Linked DNA regions of Mus musculus. Each later gene encodes a partner of the first gene's protein in a complex. Links are inferred from orthologs where the notes say so. Each region holds a gene or a part of one and is shown on either strand. Other genes may lie near its edges.

Evidence for each region.
Region 2: the proteins of Rab11fip1 (region 1) and Rab14 are in contact, whole or in part, in a crystal structure (PDB 4D0G), measured with the Homo sapiens proteins. The link is inferred for Mus musculus from reciprocal best matches to the Homo sapiens genes RAB11FIP1 and RAB14. Residues at the interface, in NP_001002814.2 of Homo sapiens: Glu1252, Ile1255, Asp1256, Asn1257, Leu1259, Val1260, Met1263, Pro1267, Asn1268, Leu1270, Arg1271, Ile1272; in NP_057406.2 of Homo sapiens: Leu28, His29, Ile44, Gly45, Val46, Glu47, Phe48, Gly49, Trp65, Arg72, Arg74, Ala75, Val76, Ser79, Tyr80.

The regions. Positions count from the first base shown.
Region 1 is NC_000074.6:27,152,690-27,160,390, reverse strand, and holds part of Rab11fip1 (rab11 family-interacting protein 1), read left to right. Parts: intron 1-3,721; coding exon 3,722-4,164; intron 4,165-5,455; coding exon 5,456-6,245; intron 6,246-7,231; coding exon 7,232-7,701. UniProt on the Homo sapiens protein: A Rab11 effector protein involved in the endosomal recycling process. Also involved in controlling membrane trafficking along the phagocytic pathway and in phagocytosis. Interaction with RAB14 may function in the process of neurite formation.
Region 2 is NC_000068.7:35,179,331-35,185,739, reverse strand, and holds the end of Rab14 (ras-related protein Rab-14), read left to right. Parts: intron 1-1,908; coding exon 1,909-1,996; intron 1,997-2,316; coding exon 2,317-2,347; intron 2,348-3,292; coding exon 3,293-3,470; 3' UTR 3,471-5,535; downstream 5,536-6,409.

The DNA.
Region 1 (7,701 bases):
CTGACTGGCCCTGCCGCCTGTAGCCCCTGCTGTGGTCATCTGAGCTTCTCCTTTTCAGGTTTCTACAAGTGACATTACAAAAGCCCAAACACCTTTCATCACCAAGGCAACTGTGACTATCAGGGAAGAAAAACACAAATAATCCTCTCAACCTCTTGACAAATATGCAAAGTATTCCAGGCCCCTCCAGGCCCTGGAAAGATAGAGGCTGCCGGGAAGAGCTGATAAAAGACCTGCATCTTCCTGCAGTGGCTGTTCCTCTCCCACCCCTCCTTCCCAGCTGTGTCTCACAAACCATGAAAGATCTCTCTTTGCCGATCAGAGGCCGGCATCTCGCGTGACTTTGTTGGTCCTGGCTGCATCTCTTGATGCATTTCATGTTTTTTCCTGGCAGTTCTCTGTGCTGGATCTCCATTGGTCATCTTACAGATTATGGCTGGTGGCAAGCTATGGTGGCGAGCTATGCTGGCATTTCCCTCTCTCCTTTTATTGTGGGATGTTTAAATTGAAAGAGTCTGGGCTGGGCTTTCCGCTCTGTATTAGAGCACTTGTCTACCACCCATGAAGCCTTGCAGTTCGTCCCTAGCACCCCACCACCACCCACGCACGCACTCCTGTACGCACACATACCCACACAAAGTGGAGGGGAAAGCGGCTCAAACTCTGCCCAGAAAGAATTTGAAAGTGAATCAGGAGAATAAGCTTAAAGCAAGCCTTCTGGTCAAGGAGAATGGAGAGGGACTCAGAGAATGGAGAGGGACTCAGAGAATGGAGAATCCTTGCCAGGTCTGCAGCAGTGCTGGTGGCATTTTCTAAGCTTTGTTTCCCTCCCCTGTAAAGTGAATGCACTTCCCCGGCCATGCCATCCTGTGAGGTGCAAGTGTGGGAGGTGCAGGGCATGCTGGGAGTGCTGCTTGAGGGTTAGGGTTCTACTTTCCTGTGTGCAGACTGAGTCAAATAGCTGGGGGTTGGAGGGTAGAGAGGGTGGGGGAGGGATTGGCCTTTGCTGAGCTACAGTCAAAGGTGAGAGAGGAAGTTGTGCTCATTTGGACAAAACCATCATTTCCTTAAAGTCCAGGCTCTAAGCTTTTAAGTAGGTCACTGAAGAAAACAAAACAAAACAAAACAAAAAAACCCAGTAAGTTCTCCATTTGTGAGGTGGCCTGTGGGTGGCTCTCTGGAGGCCAGGTATTGGGAGTTGTTGTTCCTCAATGGCCTGCAGTGAATTAGGCTCCTAGTTCACTAGAGATCAGGTTTCCAGAAGGAAAATGAATGCCAAGGAGAATCCCCCTTCCTGAAGTTTGCAGTCAGGATATGTCTGGTACCCTGGCGTTTGAAGTAGTTTTGAAGTAGTTTTGCAGAGGGCCATGTAAAATGTTTAAATGATGTTTGCAATATTGTTTTATGATAGCTAAGTTAGAAGTGAATACTTTCCGGTCAGGCTTTCATTACTTCAAACGGTTATAAAGTACAATCATGGGCTGGTGAGATGGCTCAGTGGGTAAGAGCACCCGACTGCTCTTTCGAAGGTCCAGAGTTCAAATCCCAGCAACCACATGGTGGCTCACAACCATCCCTAACGAGATCTGACTCCCTCTTCTGGAGTGTCTGAAGACAGCTACAGTGTACTTACATATAATAAATAAATAAAAAAAAAAAGTAAAAAAAAAAAAATAAAGTACAATCATATAATTACATAATGTGAAAGTATATAATAGAAAATATAATAAAAATTATATAATAACGACCCTATTGAAAGAAAATATGACATTGGAACTATCCCCCCCCCCCCAAGACAGGGTTTCTATGTATAGCCCTAGCTGTCCTGGAACTCAGTGTAGACCAGGCTGGCCTTAATCCCAAGTTCTGGCATTAAAGGCATGTGCCACCACTGCCTGGCTAAACATACCAGAATTTTTAACAAAGAAAAGAAAACACAGAGACATGCCCACAAAAAGCAAAACCTACAAAAACACAGAAATCAGAAACCATAATATACAAGCAAAAGATCAGTAAGGTTTAAAAAAAAAAAAAAAACAAAGCAAAACAGACAAACAACAACCTGAGACAAAAGGTCGACAGAAATACTACTGAGATCATTCGTGTTGGCTAATACTGCTGGGCACGGGGCCTGTGCGTCAGTGTGGTTTGTATATCTAGGGAGACTCCCTTGGAGAAACTAATGTTTCCTTTGCAAGCTGTTGTCAGTTGGAGATAGCTTTTGGGTTAGGGTGGGGGCTTGTGTGCACTTCCCCTCTCAGCACTGGGACCACCTGACTTGAACCTGTGGTGCCCTGTGCATGCTGCCATAGTTGGCATCAGGACCTCTAAAACCTGTGACATCACATAGGCAGGACCTACAGACCTGTTGCCAAGACAACGACCACCATATTCCCAGAATCCACTTGGCTCACTTCCCACCTTTACCTGTGTTGTGTCATTATCCATACATTCAGGGGAATGGCCCTCCCCAACCCTTCCCCCCTTTTCTTTCTGCCACCACCCTCCTTGCCTCTCTCTCTTTCTTTCTCCCAATAAACCTCTTACACATGGAACTGTTTTGGCCTGGGGTGCTGTGTTCAGACGAGAGCAGCTATTCTAACATACCAGCCTCCATCTCTGTGGGACCATATGTGTGTCCAGCCTGTTATCTCGAAGGCCTTCTTAATATTCTCCATTCCCTCTGGCTTTCATAACAGAGTTCCTGAGCCAAGGGGAGAGGTTTGATGGAGACCTCCCACTTAGGACTAGTGGTCCAAGATCTCTCGCTGTCTGTATGTTGTCCGGTTGTGGGTCTCTGTTAATTCTTGTCTTTGGGGGTTTGTTTGTTTGTTGAGGTAGGGTCTCATTATGTAGCCCTAGCTGGCCCAGAACTAGATAAACAAACCAGGCTAGCCTCAGACTCACAGAGACATGCCTTTCTCTGCCTCACAGGTGCTTGGATTAAAGGCATGTGCCACCACACCTGAGGTAGAGTCTTGTATTTTCTAGGCTGACCTCAAGCTCCTACCTTGCCCACCAACTATCCCAATAGCTGGGACTCCAGGCCTGCATCACTGTGCCAAGCTCTTGATTTTTAGAACTAACTCATTATTGGGTTATTATTCTAGCTAATTATAAGGGTTGAGGGTGGAACTCAATGGTACAGTACTTGTATAGTGTGCTCAAGGCCCCAGGTCTAACCCCTAGTAAGATGAATGTGCTAAGTACACCAGACTACGTATAGTCTAGCGTATGGGCAGAACGACTTCTTAGAGATAAGCGTTCAGGGCCAGGGCCAAGTGTTCTGTAGCCTGTTCTGCATGCCGGCTTCATTCGTTCGATCCCTTGGTCTACAAAAATGAACCGATAAGTAAAAGCGAAGTTCTCTACTCTCCCCTCCATTGAGACAGAGTAGAAGTGCTTTGTGGGGCTGGAGAGATGGCTCAGTGGTTAAGAGCATGGATTGCTCTTCCAGAGGTCCTGAGTTCAATTCCCAGCAACCACATGGTGGCTCACAACCATCAGTCATGGGATCTGATGCCCTCTTCTGGCGTGTCTGAAGACAGCTACAGTGTACTTGTCTAAGTAATACTAAATAAATAATATTTTAGAAGCGCATTTGTGTAAGAGGTTAGAGTGTAAGAGGTGAGAGCAACAGAGAGGAGAGGCTGCTGAGGGGATCAGGAGCCCTGCTAGAACTGCTTCCATCCAGAGCTAACCTCTTCCTCTCCTCCTTTAGATGGTACACCCTGAAGTCCAAACCCGGGAAGAAGGACAAAGAGCGCGGGGAAATCGAGGTCGACATCCAGTTTATGAGGAATAACATGACGGCCAGCATGTTTGACCTCTCCATGAAAGACAAGTCCCGGAATCCATTTGGAAAACTGAAGGACAAGATCAAAGGGAAGAATAAGGACAGCGCCTCGGATACCGCCTCGGCCATCGTCCCCAGCGTGACACCCTCAGTCGACAGTGACGATGAGTCCTTCTCGAAAGACAAGAAAAAGAAGTCAAAGATCAAGACTTTGTTTTCCAAGTCGAGTCTGCAGAAGACGCCCCTCTCCCAGTCCATGTCTGTCCTGCCCACTTCCAAGTCAGACAAAGTTCTGTTGCGGGCCGGAGACTTCCAGTCCCAGTGGGACGATGACGCCCATGAGGATGAGTCCTCCTCCGCCTCGGATGGTGAGTTCCCGTCTTTGCTCACTCACCCTCCTCCCCAGTTTACCTGACTGTGCTCTGAGAAGGGAGAGGGAGGCCTTGAGGTTTTAGTTAACTACAGTGATGATGGTGAGTGTTCTTCACAAAGGCTTTGTTTCTTACGAATCTCCAAGGGCTTGGCTCGCAGAATCAGCGCGTTTGAGGGTTTCTGCTGTTGCTGTTTTCCTCCCAGTCCTGGGGATCCGGCCCAGGGCCTTGAGTGTTCTCAGTAAGGGCTCTAACACGGCTCCTACTGTATATGAAAGAAGACTATAGGCCCTCGTGTGCGTCATGTCTCATTACTTTATCAGATAACTGCTGAGCTTTTATCGTGTGCTTGCCTCCTATGTGGTTCGTCCCTGATGGAAGCTCAGAAGTCCAGCCTCCTTAACTCTGAACTGTGTAATCTGAGCTTCAGCTACAATTACTGAAGCCCTTTTGGAGGTTCTGTTGCTCTTATCAAGAACGTGGCCTTTTCCACTGGTTTAACACTGGATTTCTTAAATTCTTCACCGCTGATTGTTCGGGCTGTTGTGTGTTACAGAGTGCTTAGGGTCCTCCTGTCAGGTACCATGATTGGTAATGTGTCCAGATGTTGAATAGATTGACAGATGCCCCTGCCGATCGCAACTGCTCATTCCCACCCCCCACCCCAACCCCACCCCCATCCCATCTCCTCCTGTCTTTGCAAGGCTGAGGTTCAAAATGACATCATCGTGCATGCTAATCAAGAACACCACCACTGACCTTTGCCCCAAATCCCTCTCATTTAATTTTTTTTTATTATTATTACTAGAGATTGAACCCCAGAGCCTTATGCATGACAGACAAATGCTTTAACTCTGAACTATATCCTCAGCCTCAATTTTGATTTATGTGTGTGTGTATGGAGTGTATGTGTGTGTATCAGTGTGTATGTGTGTGTGTCTGTGTGTGTGTGTGTGTGTATGGGTGTGTGTATGAGTGTGTGTGTGTGTGTGTGTGTGTATAAGTGTGTATGTATATGAGTGTGTATGAGTGTGTATGGATGTGTGTATGAGTGTGTATGGATGTGTGTATATGTGTGTGTGTGTGTATGGGTGTGTATGGGTGTGTGTGTGTGAGTGAGTGCACGCATGCCTGTAGGTCAGAGGGATAGCTTGTGGGGCATCGGTCCTCTTTTGAGCATGCAGGTCCTGGGAACTTAACTGAGGTCACTAGGCTTCGCGGTACATTCCTTTTCTCACTGAACTGTCTCTTCAGCACTCACCCCTTTTGCTGTTTCCTTTCTTCCCAGTCATGTCTCACAAGCGAACATCCAGTACAGACCAACAACCGAACCAGTCCAACTTCAGCCTTCCCAAGAAAGAGGGGCTTTCCTTCCTTGGGGGCCTCCGGTCCAAGAATGACTCTCTTTCCCGCTCTACCGTCTGTATCAACGGGAACCACGTTTACATGGAGCAGCCGGAGGCCAGGAGTGAGATCAGAGAGAGCAGCCCTTCTAATTCCCCATCCCCGCAGGGCTTCAGGAGGAAGCATTTGTTCTCGTCCACTGAAAACCTGGCTGCCCGCTCTCCCAAGGAACCAGGGGAAGGAGGCGGCACATCTTCTGACAGGCGACTGTCCGACTCTTCCACCAAGGATTCCATGAAGTCCATGTCTTTGCCATCCTACCGGCCTCTGACCAGTGGGGACAATAGAGAGAGCATGTCTCCAGCAAACGTGGAGGCTGCCAGAGAGACAAAAGACAGCAAGAAACAGGAGAGCAAGAAGTCCTCTTTGCTTTCTCTGGTGACGGGAAAGAGGGATGCGGCGGCTAAAGGCAGTGAAAGCGAACCTCTTCCCACTGTCTCAGAGAAAGAGAAGGAGAGGAAAGGCGCGCTCGTGGAAGCCCAGCTGCGGGAGGAAGACCTCATGAGAAGGCCTGAGAAAGATGCTCTACCTGTTGCCTCCCAGTGGGGCAGCTCCTTGAACCCCTTTGAGGACGTGCAGATCTCAGACCCGGGAGCCACCACGGAGTCCAGGTCGGAACCGAAACCACCAGTTCCTGCGGCCAGGGTTCCCCAGACCAAGGCTGTGAAGCCGAGGTGAGTCTTCGTCTTTACATATGGGGCCTTTCTCCACCACTGCCTGGTATTCAGCAAAGCCCCCGCTAGGACAAACCCGGCCGGTCTCAGGATGTGCGTGCAAAGGTTTGCTAGCCTCACGTCATTTGAACCAGGCCCCTCTGCTGGCCTGGCCTGCTCAGCACAAAGGGCAGGGCTTTTCCCAGCCTAAAGCTACAGCATGCCTGAGTGAAGGTTGTCCTCAGGGAGCTAGGCAGACTCCGGTGAGAGGAGACCACCGTCTGTGGCCGCTTCCGAGCGTGTGAGCGGAGCGTGCGTGCTTGTGGTGGGTACAGGCAGGGCCTGTGTTTTAAAGGTTTTCAGTGCTGTCCTGTGGAGATGGCTGCCTTTCCTCCTGGTGCTTGGGGTCAGTTTGCTGGTGTGAGAGACCTGGGTCGGCTCTTTAGACCGTTCTCTGTCTCCTCTGTGCCTGATCGTTAGAGCCTGCCTAAGCCGGAAGGAGCGTCTGCTTTTCTGAGTGACTCTCACCTTGACCTTGACCTTGCTCTGGAATGGGGGTGGCGAGACAAGCTTTTTGGGGATTCTGCAATGGATGCACTTTCTCTCCAGAATCCATACTTGTTGCCTTCCATTATTTCGATGCTTTTCGTTCTGTCATAGTCAACTCTTGGGACTGAGTGTATCTCAGAAAGAAACTGTAGGCTGTCGGCTGCTCTAGCTGAATCTTTCCATTTCTGTTAGAACAGACCCGTGTGTGACGGCTGTGCTTGGCGCTAAACAGTGTCTCTTTCTGTGGGGAGACTACGCCTCAGTCGTGGAGGATTCACATAGCAGGCACGGGGCCCTGGCTTCGACTCCCCAGCACGAATGATCAATTTGTATGTCAAGAAGTGCTGTTTCCTTCACCTTGATCATTAAAAACCTGTCCCTCCCTAATGACTACTTTAATATGTGTCTTGAAATGCATCTGCCACTGACCTGCAGATTTTATTTTGTCCTTTTTGCAGACTGGAAGTTTCTCCAGAGGCTCAGCCCAAAGCCAGGCTTCCCTCCCCCGACTCTGCTCTCTTTGCCCCCTTTCCCTCTGACTCTATTCAGCCTCCTGTCCTTTCCGACTTGAGATGTGACTCAGAGACACAGTTCTCTGAAAGTCCTTCTGCCTCCTCTTTCTTGTCCCCCTTAGCAGCTCCTATCTCCACATCCACTCCAGTCGAGCCCTGGCCCACAGGCCAGGGTGAGGCCGATGCTGAAAAACCTTCCTTGCTCCTCAGAGCAGTCCCTAGTTTAACACCGGCTGCAAACACTGGTTCTTCTGCCTCGGGATCACCTTGTGAACAACTTCCTACACCTGTGCGGAAGGGGACGGAAGAGGCGTCAGGGGACACAAGGAAGGAAGCTGGCAGTGATGAATCGGGAAAGACCCTCATGACAGAGTGTGTGTCTTCTGTGGATAATGTTCACGATGGCGGAATGACTA
Region 2 (6,409 bases), on another chromosome or scaffold:
AACAGTTTGGTTGCAATTCCCACTTCAGTGACCTGGTATTCAGCCACACTGAAGAAGCAATTAGGGTAACAGCATCAGCTGATAAATCTGAAGAGAATTTTGCTGAGTTTAAAAAATCTAAAAGGCTTACATATTCTATGATTCTATTGACATATTTCAAAATGACAGTATTGTAGATAGATAAAGAACAAACTAGTGATGGCCAAGGGTTGGTTAGTGACAGGTTAGGTAGTTGATAGAACTGGGAAAAAACAGCCAGAGCAGTTTCTTGGTGATGATGTTGATAATTCTGTGCCCAGATTGAGGTGACAGCCAGAGTCTATTCTAACACTGCACAGAGCCACATGTGGGTACAGCCACATACACTTTTGAAAAACAAACAAACAAAAAACACTGGTATCTTAGGGCAGTAATTGTACCAGTGTTAGTTTCTCGTTTTGACAGTATAATGTAGCCCTGTGAGTTACTAAAAAATTTTGAAAATGTTTTTTGAAGCACACTTTATTTATATTACTATGTTTCCTATGAAATTGCCTTTTGTTTTTATGGGGAAAGTATGTATTCTTCATTTTTGTTAATGTTTTGTGCCACTTTGTTACAAGACTACCTCTTGAGGGAGGGAGGTGGGCAATGAAGATTGGAGATTGATATGTAGTTGGGAAAGAGAAAATACTTCTTTTTGAAGAGAGTTGTGGTAGAGTGGAGTGTTGGAGATTAAAACCATAGCTGAGTGCCTGCTAGGCAAATGCTTGCCCATACTGAAGATAGTATTTCTTGATTTGAATGGGTTTGATCTTTTTGTTAAGTGCCATTATTTTATTGTTCAAATGACTATGAACATTATTTTCCCTTGTCAGTAGTCACTTGCACTTTGAAGAATGATTTTATTATTGCTGCTGTTGTTGTTATTGTTGTTGTTATTATACCCATGTAACTTACTTGGAAATAATTGATTAGTTCACTGGACCCAAATATTTGAAAGTGGAAGAGACAAGTACAAGTACTAATTTTATATGGAAAAAAAAAGTTGGGAAGCACTTTTTTGTTGAAATCATTGATTCCTAACCTCTGTATCTGGTTAAAGGGGGCAGGAAGTAGAAGAGGGGCTGATATCTTCCCCCTTTGTGCTTTAAATAACAAACAAAACCCCTTTGTTTTCTACGGCTACCTTTAGTCTTTTAACAATTTTACTCGAGTAGGTAACTCCAAAGTAGATGACAGAGTGTGGTATTTGTTCCAGGATTTGAACCTATTGCGTATTTATCCCATCCTCAGCTTCTTTCACAGACACACGCATTGCTGATAAGTTGATAGAAATTTACACCTCTCCTGGGATAGTTTGTCTTTAGGTCACAGTTTGCATTCTCTAAGGTTCTAATGCCCTCTTTGCTAACTCTGTCTTGAATTTAAGGGGAAGGTAATTACTGTTACCCTGAATGAATTAAACTAGTGGTTTTCAAGTTTCCTCAAGGTCCCAGAATCTTTTGAGAACTGAAAGCTATAAGCCTTCTCCAGGGAGTGTTCATGGTAACAGCACTTTGCACTTAATTTTAGGGCCTTCTTATTAATTTTGCTTATTTTTTTTTGGCCTAGACCAGATATGAACAAATTGGCTTGTGAGCCATATTCACCTAATGAATGACTTTTCTATTTTTAAGAGATTTGTGACAACAATAAAAATAATATTCAGCAAGACTTGTGTGGGGCCCACAAATCTGAAATATGCCTTCTCTTCCTTACAGTCATTTTTCAGAACCTGAGCCAGCTTGTTGTGAAAGTTCTGCTCAGTGTTCTTGCCTTATGCTGTGTAGTCCAGGGCTCATCTTTTTTTCTGTCAAGGCTTTTGTATTTGAGAATTTTCATAGGTATTTTTGTTCTAAGATATCTTTTCTTTTGTTCACGAATTAGGTAATAATTCTCATAGGAAATAAAGCAGACTTGGAAGCACAGAGAGATGTTACCTATGAAGAAGCCAAACAGTTTGCTGAGGAAAACGGTGGGTTTGAGACTTAACACTCTCCTATGGGATTTTTTAAAAGAAAGGAGAATTAGATCATGCCGGCTATTCGAATTTTGTTTTTTTAACTTGTTCTATTCAGAAATCTCAATAAGGAAATAAAGTGTTTGTTTCTATGATACCTGTTAGTAGTAGTGCAGCTACTGAGTGACAAGTACTGATCTGCCCCTGCACCTCAGACACGTGCTCCTTCATGAGGGCTGGAGTAGGAGTACTGACAGCTGTGGGGCCTACTCACATGTGACTGGAGCACTCCTGACTCTGCAATGTCCTAATTTTAGTCTGAATTTTATTTTTAGGCTTATTGTTCCTTGAAGCAAGCGCAAAAACGTAAGTATGGCTAAAATGTAGATCATGTTTCAGTTCCATGCAGAGTAGAATCATGTGCTGTGTAAGTGAGTGATGCTGTAGACAGGCGTGGGAACTGTGCTGTGTAGTGAGGCCGTGGACAGCAGGAAGAGCAGTGAGCAGAAGAAGCTCCTGTTTCACTTTACAAGAGAATGGGACCCTTTTACTTAAAGGGTTGTACCTCATTGTGTCCACTGGTAACCCAGCTTAATAAATGAAACTGTGCTGACATCTCACAAGTGTTTGACTCTCACAGCTGAGGTTGAGTTTGGTATCTTGAACATGCACTGGGCCAGCATGTTCACACAGCACCTTAATGATTCAAGGACTCCATACTTAGTGACTAATGAGACACAGCGAACATTTCCTGATTGCCTTGGAGTTTAGCATTGATCCCAGCACTCCCAGTCATAGTTCTGTATCACACCAGGCAAGGACAGGCCAACCTGTTCATGTTATTTATCTCTGCTGTTGGTCCCAAGAGAACTGAGCTGTGAACATGGTTAAACATGACTATGTCACCATTGCATGATAAAGATAGCATAGTTTTATACATGGCTGTTCATAAAATAATGGAAAGCCTGGAATCCTGTCGGTACATTTGGAGAAGTTTTATTTGGAGCACCTGCTCATTTCAGAGTGGCCGTCTCAGTTTTCATGCAGTATATTAACAGAGCCCTGCAGTGAGTAGACGATGTAAATATGCAAACTGAGCTTTAGAAACAGCTTGGTACTGGGTTGTTTACTCACCACCAAAAACATTTCCTATGTTCTCTTAGCTCAGTCTTCTGGTAATCTCTTATTAGATGACAGTGGCTAAGTGGAAGACATCATGGCAGTTGACTAAAGGTTTAGCAGGTCAGTGTAAATGCCTTACATTTTCTAGAAAGCTGTGCTTTGTAAATAAAGTTGTTGATTGTCTCTTAGGGGAGAGAATGTAGAAGATGCTTTTCTTGAGGCTGCCAAGAAAATCTATCAGAACATTCAGGATGGAAGCCTGGATCTGAATGCTGCCGAGTCTGGTGTACAACACAAACCCTCAGCCCCGCAGGGAGGACGGCTAACCAGTGAACCCCAACCCCAGAGAGAAGGCTGTGGCTGCTAGTGACCTCTTTGCTCTGGCCCCTCATTTGACCTTTCACCTCTGTCTGTTGGAAGCAGTACTTTTTACTGCCTCCTTGTCTTCTGTACATCTTACTGGGTTTAATTAAAAAAAGAAAAAAGAAAAAACAACTCTTGTAAAAACAGTTTAACAATACTAAACTGCTAAACATCTAGATGTAATCAGGTTATCAAAGGCAAGTAGAGTAATAAATCTCTCCTGCATGGTAAATCTAGACTTTCCCCCTTTGATTGTCCTTGTGATAGGTTTGTCACCAATATATGATTTAAACTGAGCACTGCTGCTGGACCTGATTTTTACCTTCCCTTTTGGCAAGGCTTTGTCTCGCTGTACGGTTTAAATTTGATCTTTTCAGCCTTCCTCCCATCTTTAAACTGTTGAGTATGTCTGTTGTAGCCAGTAAGTTCATTGCTGTGAAATGACTTTGGATGGTAGAGAAAAGGGGTCTGCAACTGCTTTTGTTTTTGTTGGATAAATTCCCTGTTGTAGGGGTGGCATTTTTCTTGATGAGGTTTGCTTCTGTCTTAGCCTTGCACAGGGAAAAATACCCATTTATCTTTTCTTGTGCTTAATTAATAGCTTTATCTTTTTTTTTTAATTTTTACACTATTTTATCCTTTTCTCTTTAACAGAAAGTAAATATGTATAAAATTTGAAGGAACCTAACTAACAATACCTTCTGTGTATATTATTTTAATGAAGAAAATAAATTGATTACTGGCATTGGAACAGTATAAAATACCAGTTTGTACAGTGTGACCTATATGTGACCATGTTACTCTTCCATTTCACACACGGAAATAAGACACAACAGCAGCTCACAAGTAATACTGGCTCCACTCCTTGGTGCTGGCAGTGTTTGGGGACAGACATAATGCTGGAAAGAGCTCCTGGCATCAGCGGAAACACTAGCGGATTCTACTCCATCTTTGCACTGTGGCATACCTGCTGATTTTCTTAACTGTTCTTGTGTAATCAACGCGCTCACCTGCTTTTCTTTTTGTAAACATTTTGTGTTATAGGCTGCATTCTTGCCTTACTGTATAGGAAAAGGAAGAAGGCTGGGTTTAATATTGCACATTTTAAGCTTTTATACCTTTATCTTGGAATGGTCAACTTCTGGACCAGATAGCCAGAACCACAGGTCTGCTGTTAAGGGATTTTAAATTGTGCGTTTTTAACACTACAGTGAGATAATTTAGTATTATCCTTTGTGTTCATAGTATGAGGGGCTATCTTATGTCATGTTGGCATAAATTATTTTGTAAAAGGGAAGGTGTTTCTAAATGTGTATGCTGACATCATGTAAGTTGCTACTTTGCACTGGGTGGTCTGGCCACGGAAAGAACGCCTTGCAAGAGAAACAGATCTCTAGGCAGCATCTGCTTCACTCAGTTCTTCCCTTCTCTTGGTTGGTTTCTAGCTGAGTTTAAAGTGGCTGGGAATTGAGAGGTCATTGGAAGTGCACGTAGGTAAGCCCCAGCACATTATATAAAATGCTCTCTGCTCATTGCTGTGTTAAAATACACATTTTAAATCCCTCTTTACCAGACACTAATGTAAAAGTACATCTTCTGGATTATAAACATGTGGTAGTTCCAGAGTTTTGTATAGTCAATGTTAAATAAAAGCCAAAACTGGAATGTGCAGAAAATAGGATTCGGTTTTCTTGTGGATTCACCTTTTTGTCCTTGTTTAACTTAAAGGAATCTTGGAGTAGACTGATCTATTCTGTTAAAGATGTAGAGTGATCCATTTGCTTACACTGTTGCATCACAGGGGATTCGCCCAGGGACCATGACCTGCTGGTGTGTGTATATATTTACAAAACAAAACAAATCACCCATCGGGACATAAGGTAGCAATCACAGAGTGAAGACCTTCGGCTTGTTTAGGTGCAATACCCCATTTCCCAAAGTGACAGTGGGTCCTAATTGTTTTTGTGACAGAAGGATTTATTCAGACTGCTGTACTCTTCATTTGATGTAACAAAATGCTATTATCTAAATATTTGTAAATAAAGTACCTGTATCTAGATTAAATTGAACATAGTTGCATTATTTTTGATCTGTAAGACTTTTCAGATGAATATTTGAACTATCAGTTTTTACTACAGCATTGCACTTAGTGTATGGTGAGGTCTGAGTAGCAGTAAAGCTACCAATTGAGCTGGAGTTTCATCCATGTATGTTGCATCTTTGAGGCCAGCACATTGCTAGCTAATAGTGTTCTCCCTTTTCTGTATATGGGGCCAAATTCTATTTGTTTGTGTAACCAGCGTGTAATAAATTTGGGAGCTTAAAGATAAGCAGATTGTCATAGTGCAGCATCTGTGAGCCAGTGGATCTGGGCAGAGTGGATTTCTGTTCATTTTTAACCCACAAAAGCTTGTCATTGTGCAGATGCCTCCTCTGGCTTTCTCACTCTGCTTTTGCTGTGGAGGAACCCCTCTGGTGGTAACTAGTACTCCAACACAATGTGGAGTTGATTTTTGGTGTTTTGTTTTGTTTTTGAAGTAATAACGTGTTCAATGAAATGATGGCTGGAAGGAGTTGGGTGGTGGTGGTCACATGGTACTAGTAAGGCTATACAAGGTTTTTTTAAGATGTCCTCTGGTTGTGTTGGTGTGTGTGGTTGGTCAGACCCAGGATTCTGCACAAACTAAGCAAGCAGCCCCCGGCTGTAGGTTTTGAAATCAGGTGTTTTGAAAGCTCAGTTTTGAGAACTGCTTTAAATGTGGCCTTAAATAGATGGTGTAGTTCCCTCATCATAAACAGAAAAAAAGACCAGGCAATTTCTATTACTATTTATGTGGTAGTAGAGATGAAGATTTATGTGGGAATAAGACTACTTCACCTTCATTAGGTCCTATTCCTGTACTGTGTCAATAGTTGGGATTAGTCCATACCTTTAAGCATTTT